Cricetulus griseus: one gene and its partner. Each later gene encodes a partner of the first gene's protein in a complex. Links are inferred from orthologs where the notes say so. Each region holds a gene or a part of one and is shown in the gene's direction. Other genes may lie near its edges.

Region 1 (3,641 bases):
TCTCCTTTTATGCAATCCAGGACCCAAATGCAGACGATGGTGTCACCCTCTATTAGAGAGTGGATCTCCCCATGCCAGTTAAACTAATCAAGATGTCTGAGTTAGGGTTTTTATTGTAGTGAAGAGACACCATGACACCAAGAGACAGCAACTTTTATAAGGTAAACATTTAATTGGGGTGGCTCACTTACAGTTTCAGAGGTTTAGCCCATTATCATCATGGCAGGGAGCATGGCAGTGTGCAAGCAGGCAGACATAGTGCTGGAGAAATAGCTGAGAGTTCTGCATCTTTAAGGCAATAGAAATTCGATTGAGACACTGGGCTGTATCCTGAGCATAGGAAATCTCAAAATCTGCCTTCACAGTGACACACTTCCTCTCCAACAAAGACACACCTCCTAATAGTGCTACTCCCTATGACATTATGGGGGCCAATTGCATTCCAACCACCGTACAAGGTAATTCCATGGGCCAGGGTAATGGTCTAACCAGTAAAAGCTCTTGCCACGAACAAATCTGACAACCTGAATTCATCCCTGGATGCCATGGTGGAGGAGAACCAGCTCTACCTAATACAGCTTAAACCTACCAGAATAAGATCAAATGCCTAGCAGTTACAAACTTGCTCTTGTGAGTACAAAGTGTCCATTTCAGTTGTTTTATTTTTGCTTTGTTTTGTTTTGTTTGTCTGAAATCCAGGCACACAGCTCTGCACATGTTATGCAAGTACCCTCTTACTGAGCTACACAGTCAGCCCAGCTATAGGTTCTCAGGTAAAGGCTATTATGCCCTCAGAAATGAGATTTGGTGTATAAAGGGCAGGAAGTTAAGAGGCAGCATTTCATACTGGAATATTCACCTAAACTAACGAACCGGGACATGCAGTCTCCCAGGAGAATGAAAGCCTTGTCGGTGCTGAGATACTGATGGATGTCCCTTATTTCAGGAAGCTGGAGACAATAGCCAGTTCTGCTGGAGGAACCTCTTTTCCTGCATCAACCTCCTGAGGCTGCTCAATAAACTGACCAAATGGAAGCACTCCCGGACCATGGTAAGCAGGACTTTAGATCACAGAGGTATCCGTTCAACTGAATTGTTAAATCACTAGTATTTGTAGATTGCCTGCCTGGAAAAGATAGATAGCTGGTGAATGCTACCTAAGTTTCCGCACTTCCTAACTCTGGGCACTTATTCCAAGATGATTGCTCACTGGTCCATTTCTTTTCAGGAAACTAAATATAGACAACACTCTTAAGGCAGCTCTAACAAGGGAAGCCAGCCACATTTGGATTATAGTTACACATCCAAAAATGATGCAAGTCTAACATTCATTGCGATGCTGCTTATGAGAGTCTGGAAACAACTTAATATTCTTTAACAAGGGCCAACTGCATAAATTAATTGTGGTGTTTCCTTAAAGTAGTATATGATAAACGATTTTAAAGAACGATGTCTCTGCTGGTATGGAGTAATTTTAAGATATATTATTAAATTTAAAGAGGCCGTTAATTCCAGCACTCAGGAAGAAGAAGCGAGGAGGATTTCTGTAGTTTCAAGGCAAGCCTGATCTAGATAAAGAGATCCTGTGGGATATGTGAGTTAGAGAGATGGCTCGGGAGTGAGTTAATGTGCTGTTCTTGCAAAGGACCCAAGTTTGGTTTCTAGCACCTATGTCAAACAGTTCACATCTGTTGGCAACTCCAGCTCCAGAGAGAGCCAATGTCTCTTGTCCCCAAGGATACATGTACTCAAATACACATACACACACAATTTTAAAAAATTAATCATGATATAGAACAGTATACTTGGCTATTACTTGTGTTAAAATACAAAATAATACGTATGTGACATAGCTATAGTCAAAATTATCTCCAGGGCTAGTGAGATGCTCAGCTGGGAAAAGTGCTTGGTATGCATGCCTGGTGACCTGAGTTTGATTCTTGGAACCCACAGTGGAAGGAGAGAACTGAAAATTGTCCACTGGCCTCCATATGAGTTATTCATTTTATGTGTGTTTTTCCTTCATGTATGTATGTGTACCACTTTGTGCCTGGTGCCCACAGAGGTCAGACAGAGGAGGGCATTGGATCCCCTGGAACTGGAGTTACAGATGGTTGTGAACTACAATGAGGGTGCTGGAGATTGAACCCAGGTCCTCTAGAAGAGCAACAAGTATTCTTAAGTGCTATGCCAAACTTTAAATGAATTAGTTCTTTGTTTTTTTGTATATCACAAGACTGGCTTTGAACTCATGATCAGCCTCTGAATATTTTGATTACAAGTGTGTGCCACCATGTCTGGCTTAATTCGTGTGTGTGTGTGTGTGTGTGTGTGTGTGTGTGTGTGTGTGTGTGTGTGTGTTTTAGACAGTGTTTCACTACCCTAGGCTAGTCTCAAACTCCTTATATAGTTCTTTTGTATTCTCTAAGACTAACTCTTAAGCAGTTTGAACCTTAGATCCTCAGGGTCTCATAGGATAACCAGAGTTGTCTATATTGTCTGAGTTGGAAATTCTAAAAACTTCACATGACGATGGACTTTTTGTCACTCTGTCTCTGTATCACTGGGCAGATGCTGGTGGTGTTTAAATCAGCTCCAATCTTAAAGCGAGCCCTCAAAGTCAAACAGGCCATGCTACAACTTTATGTTTTGAAGCTACTAAAGATACAGACCAAGTACCTTGGGCGCCAATGGAGGAAAAGCAACATGAAGACTATGTCAGCCATTTACCAGAAGGTGCGCCACCGCATGAATGATGACTGGGCTTATGGCAATGGTGAGTATTTGTAAAATTTGGGCTCACTAATTTGGCTAGGCTGGCTGGCCACTGAGCTCAGAGATTTGCCTGTCTCTGCTCCTGCAGCACTGTGGTTATATAAATGCACACTGCAACCCCTGGCTTTTACATAGGTGCTAGTGATCCAAACTCAGGTCCTCATGCCATCTCCCCAGCCCCAAAATATGATACTAATTTTATGATATGGTAAAATGTTTGCATACTTACAGTAGTTTGTTTGTTTGAGACAAGGTCTTACTATGTAGCCTTGGCTGGCCTGGAACTCACTATGTAGACCAGGCTGGCCTCAAATTCAAGTGTTCTCTGCCTGCTTCTGCCTCCCAAATGCTGGGAGTAAAGACATATGCCACAATATGCCCAGCTGAGTTGGTCTAGAATTGACTCCTCATGTTCTGCTCCAATCTCCCCTTCCTTGAGAGGTGATTCTACTCAAATGGGAAATTTTCATCCCCTAGAGAAAGCTCAATAAAAGGTTTTAATTGCTCTTTTGAATAACATGATTACTAGAAAGAAACAAAGCCGGGTGGTGGTGATATACACCTTTAGTCCCAGCACTCAGGAGGCAGAGGCAGACAGATCTCTGATGTTTGAGGCCAGTCTGGTCTACAGAGTGAGTTCCAGGACAGACTCCAAAGCTACAGAGAAACTCTTGTCTCAAAAAAAAAAAAAAAAAAAAAAAAAACGAATAAAAGCCAGGCGGTGGTGGCGCGCACACCTTTAATCCCAGCACTCAGGAGGCAGAGGCAGAGGCAGGTGGATCTCTGTGAGTTCGAGACTAGCCAGATCTACAAGAGCTAGTTCCAGGTCAGCCTCCAAAGCCACAGAGAAACCCTGTCTTGGAAAA
Region 2 (5,475 bases), about 120 Mb from region 1:
TACAAGCTCTTTGCTTCTTCTCATACCTCCATGATCCATTCACTCTAAGCCTAGATAATTTTGTTTGTTTTATTTTTATTTTTTCAGATTTGTCTGGTACACAGTTCTTTGGCATGTGAGAATGTAGGAGGGAAGGATTTAATTAACTTAGGGATGTAGATTTCTCATCAGTACCAGAAATCACTAGGACTGAACCTGAAGCCATGGAAAGAATATCTTTGGGCCACTTCATTTTAAAAAGGCATTTTGTATGCATTACAAAAACAAAATACAAAATCCTAAAGTAAATCAGAATAGCAAGACAACAGAAAAAAATAAAAGGTAGTTACTGGATCTTATTGACCATTCTTTTAAAAACATAAAAGTATTCTGACATCCCATGGGATAGTCAACTGTCAAAATAAAGGCATTCCAGAGGAGATATGCTGCAATATGCTATTATGATTAATAGGAGTATAATCTGGGGTACTATGTAACAACAACAAAATGAACTAAGCTGATATACTGTTACTACTTTTTCAAAACGAAAAGGCTGTAATCTGTCCTAGTTACACAGAGGTAGGGGTGACTACTATCTTCACCAAGTATTACAACATAATTCCACCCATATTTATTAAACTTACATTTAAAAGTATACACATGATGAGAATGAACTATCATTTTATACTATATATACATGCATATACATATATATATATATATGTATATATAATCGGAACCCATTGCAACATACTAAAGGTTATCATTTTACAGCTACTCTCTTCAACAGAGGAAAGCTCTTCCACACAGCTTCCCTTGTACTCCTGTTTTAAAAAGACGAACAAACCTTACCGGACACAAATGAGAGAATAAGGAGCAGCGATGAAGTACACCATATGTTTCTGTTGTAGGCTGAATCCAGGTCTTTGTTTCAATATTCCAGCGCCAGCCGGGAAGGAACGCTAAATTAACCACTATTCAAATTTATTCTCTCATTATTGCGGTAAAAGTTATACTTATGATAGGTTCAGCCCAAACCCATCCTATCTTATTATTTGCTTGTTTAATCCAGATTTTTTGCAATCCCAGGAACCTGCAATACATAATCGCCCTGGATAACAGGTCCGAAGCAGAACAATCTGATAAACCAACACAAGCGGCAGGCACTGAAGAGAACAAAGTTGTTTTCCTAGCGAAATAGTTCCGAAGTGATTCTATATCAATGCCATTTTTGCTTTTTTATCAGCTACGCACCTATCTAGACACTGTCCACCTGGTTCTCAATTAACAGGGCTTTCTTCAATCTTGGGATCTCCCAGACCAGTTTTAATGGTGCAACTCAAAACAAAATCACTAACCGCGCCCTTATACATCAGAAGGAATTACCTTTTGCCTTTTTCTCCCAACTATAGTCCAAAATTGCACATCGTTCCCCTGAAAGGGGTTGCAATGCTATCTTAAGCCAACATAACACTCTTTCAGCTCTGCCCTGGCGTTCCTATTGTCAGATGCCGTTCTTCCCCCGGCGGTGTGCTGGCGCCGGCAAGGGGCACCCACGCTTACCTCCCGCACACCTGCACTCCCGGGCTCGGGATGCTGGAGAGGATGCTCGGCGGGCTGTGATCGCTCAGGATCCTGCTCCTGCCTCTCTCCGGGGAAACTACAGAGCAAGCAGAGCCTAGGCTTCTACTGAGACTCAAGCTCCGCCTTCCCCTCCTCTAGTTGGCCGGACCTCGGGCTCCGGCTCCTCCCTCTGCCGTTTGCGCAACCCGAGCTGCAGGCGGCGCGAAGCCTTACTGAAGCAAGTGTCTCGGCTCCTGGTTCTCTGTCCACCCCCCCCTTCCCCCCACCGCACCCACCCACCCTGAGTCGCACCTGGAGCTTCTCAGGTCAGGTTTAGCCCCCTCAGTGAGCCGGCCCAGTGTACACCAGAGTGGGCTGTCCTAGGGAGTACTGACGCTTCAGCCCAAGCGAAGCCCACGCCTCACCCTCCCTCCTCCACCCCCCACAGTCCCCAGAGGCTTCCTCGCAGCCTACCCAGGCACCCAACCCAGCTGCCCGTCCCCTGCCACCTCTGGTCCCCCGCCCCTTTCCTTCCACTCATCTGCGAGCCCCGCCCATCAGTGGGCACGGCGTCTGAGGGCCGGCCTTGCCTTCTGATTGGTGCAGGTGAGAGCCGGCCCCGCCCTTCCTCCGTTTCTGGGCGCTCTCCCTCTCCGTCTCCCTTCCTCCCGTGAAGGCAGGGAACTCTTTTCTTATTCGCTACAAGTGTCCCCACCTATCGCCCTAGGCGTTCTTGCGGGTCCTTCTGGGAAATGTGGTCCTAGGTCTGCAGGAAGTGCTGACGGAACTGGCGGGCGGAACTACGAATCCCCATCGGGCCTTGCGCGACTCCGGCTGGGCAGGATTCCGGACAACGCCTGGTTCCTCTCGGGTCCTTCCGGCGTCGCCGGAGTGAATTGATCCGGGAGTTGAAGAGGGCTCCAAAGGTGGGAAGTGAAGTCCGTGCCTCAGTTGCTGGTAAGGCGAGCTTTCTCGGTTCGGGTCCTCACGGCTCCGCCGGGCAGCGAGCGCGGCTTGGGGTCAGGCGGGGGCCGAGGCGGAGACGCTGGGGCTGGGCTCTGGCCGGAGGGCGGACGGGCGGGGAGCGGGGCCCTCTGGGCGTCAGCGAGGTCTCTACGCGAGGTGCGTAAAGCCGGTTTGGAAATGCCGCTTACCCGGCGCGGCCCGGCACCTCCAGGAAGTCCGCTGTGGGTGCGAGCGGAGGGGAAGGGTGAGGTCGGCCTCCCGAGTCCCCGCCGACAGAGGGGGCGGATGTGCTGGGGTGGGGTCCCCGGCAGGTGAGGCTGGAGCTGTGTAAGGCCTGGAGAGAGCGTGGGAGCCCGGGAGTCGGCTCCCGGAGTGACTGGGGTTATGCCCTTTGAGGAAAGAGGAGAGCCGGTGTTGACAGTTCCGACTCAGTTCCAGTTTCCTGATGTGGCCTCTCTAAGGAGGTAACTCTTAACTAGAAGTGTTTGTCCCTTTTAACTCTCATACGTCAGATGGCTTTACTCCTGAACTGTACTCAAAAGCGCTTTCGCTTTGGGATGCTTCTGAGAAAACTAAAGGAGTAAATGACGTGTCCAAGGTCACACAGATCTTCTGAATCCAGTCCGCTGAAAGTCCAGGTTCTGACCAGAGTTGTCTGCTTAGATAGAAAAGTGGGGAGTTGCTTGGTAGGTGCTCGAAGCGGATAAAAGAAGTTGCAAAGTTGAGTGTGCGTCTCAGAAACGTTTGGGAGGTGAAGAGTTGGTTGCTTGGGGTGGAGTGAAATCCTTCCCAAAGCAATCTTCTTTAACGGTTTGTTAAAAAGGGAAGGGTTGTTTTTTTTTTTTGTTTTTTGTTTTTTTTTTTTTTAGCTTAGATATTTACCCTTTTTCCGAAACATACTAAATGATAACACAACTTCCATGAGCCAAAAAGATAGGTAATATTTAGCAATAAGCTCAGCGTTGCCATTAAGAGAATAGTCCTTTCCTGATTTCTGAAACTAAGATTAAAGTACGGATGAAACTTTGACAAAACTTATTTTACACATTTTAATGTTTTCATTGAGTGATAATTAAATGCAGAATCATGGAGAAGTTATAACATGGTCGTTACCTGAAATGGCTTTTTTTTCTGTCTGAGGTTTTTGGTTCTCATTTTCTTCACTCCATGTGTAAGTAGTAAAAACCAGGACTTGTGCATTTTCTTTTTCTTGGCATCATCTGTGACTTTTAATTCATTCTTAATGTTAAAGAACGGGAAAAAAAAGGATGCCTGTATATTGAGTAAAAAGCAATGCACTTGTTTCAAACAAGTTGACTAATTATAGCTGATAGATATTACTAGATAGGTTGTTGATAGAATTGTACTTTTTTATTGAAGACAAGGTTCCTTTATAAGATTATACTCATAAACATGCATATTTATAGTTAGTAGGCATCATATTATGTAAATTAAAATATTAAATACATATATACTGTAAATAAATACACAATATTTTGAATGTTTTGCTTGCCATGATTAATACTAACAATTTATTTGATTTTTTTAATGCAAAACTTTTCTGGGGTCAGAAGAATCTTTGTTCCTCTATGGTTCAACTTAATATGGACTTGTTTTACTCTGACCTTTAAAATAAATGGAGAGGTATGGTATTATAGAATGAGACAGAAATCAGGAATGTAACACGCTGCATACATATAATACACAATAAGGAAGAAGCAACTAAACAAAAGGAAAATTATGTGGGGTTGATTTTGAAGTAGATTAAAATGGTGCCTTAGTTTGAGTGGGCCATATATAAGTCTAAACTTGTAAAGCAAGGATGCCAATATATTTTCTAGATGACTGTGGACATTTGCTGTTTGTGGGAAAGGTATGAAATGAGTTTTAACATAACTTTGTGGTTCTGGAAAGACTTTCTTTTTTAACTTTTTAAAATTTAAATTAGAAACAATCTTATTTTATATATCAATCCCAGTTCCCTCTCCCTTCCATTCTCCCATGCCCCCCACCGACCCCCATCCCATCCCTTTTCTGCTCCATAGAAAGGGTGAATCCTTCCATGGGGATCATGAAAGTCTGTCACATCATTTTGGGCAGAGCCTAGGCCCTCCCCTGTGTGTCTAGGCTGAGAGAGTATCCCTCTATGGGGAATGGGCTCCCAATGGCCTATTGGGACCTAATGGTCCATTAGGGATAAATGCTGTTCCATTACCAGAGGTCCCATAGACTGCCCAGGCCTCCTAACTATTCAGGGGGACTGGTTCCATTCTATGCTGGTTTCTCAGCTATCAGTCTGGGCTCCATGAGCTCCCCCTTGTTCAGGTTAGCTGTTTCTGTGGGTTTCTCCAGCCTGGTCTTGACCCCTTTGCTCATCCCTCTTCCCTCTCTGCAACTTGGATTCCAGGAATTCGGCTCAGTGTTTAGCTGTGGTGTCTGCTTCTGCTTCCATCAGCTACTGGATGAAGGCTCTATAATGGCATGTAAGGTAGCCATCAATCTCATTATAGGGGTTAGAGCATTTAAGATAGCCTCCTGGAGAGAATTTTTTAATCAAAAGGAAAAAATTAGTTCTTGTCTACTCTAAATGTATCTGTGTCTCTGAGGTCCATTTTACCTGTAGTGTTTGATCACTACAATTGTAGTGCTGAAATGAATGATGTTATTGCTGTATTTAAAATCCTTCAGTCGCTAGCTAGAATTCACAGTGGTTTGTTTTACCTGTAGTGTTCAGCTCTTGGTGCCCACATTTGTTCTCTAAAGTAGCTTTGCATCAACTTTCAGATATTATTCTTCGTAGGCCTTTGGAATTCTTCCTTATATAGTCATCTCTCTCTTAAAGGGTAGTCTATAAGAACAAGAGCGGTGTATTAGTTATCTTTATAGCCTCAGCTGAAGAATAATTGAGTGGCTCCAGAGAGTAGAAAAGGCTTGGGTTGGTTTAATGACTTGCCCAATGTCATACGA

Evidence for each region. Proteins that work in one complex are often made in the same cells at the same time.
Region 2: Strip2 (region 1) and Pdcd10 share a complex: the UniProt entries of both Homo sapiens proteins name them as parts of the core of STRIPAK complex. The link is inferred for Cricetulus griseus from reciprocal best matches to the Homo sapiens genes STRIP2 and PDCD10.

The regions. Positions count from the first base shown.
Region 1 is NW_023276806.1:197,864,033-197,867,673, reverse strand, and holds part of Strip2 (striatin-interacting protein 2), read left to right. Parts: intron 1-946; coding exon 947-1,051; intron 1,052-2,571; coding exon 2,572-2,776; intron 2,777-3,641. UniProt on the Homo sapiens protein: Plays a role in the regulation of cell morphology and cytoskeletal organization. Required in the control of cell shape. Calmodulin-binding scaffolding protein which is the center of the striatin-interacting phosphatase and kinase (STRIPAK) complexes.
Region 2 is NW_023276806.1:78,251,236-78,256,710, forward strand, and holds the start of Pdcd10 (programmed cell death protein 10), read left to right. Parts: upstream 1-2,347; 5' UTR 2,348-2,499; intron 2,500-5,475. UniProt on the Homo sapiens protein: Promotes cell proliferation. Modulates apoptotic pathways. Increases mitogen-activated protein kinase activity and STK26 activity. Important for cell migration, and for normal structure and assembly of the Golgi complex.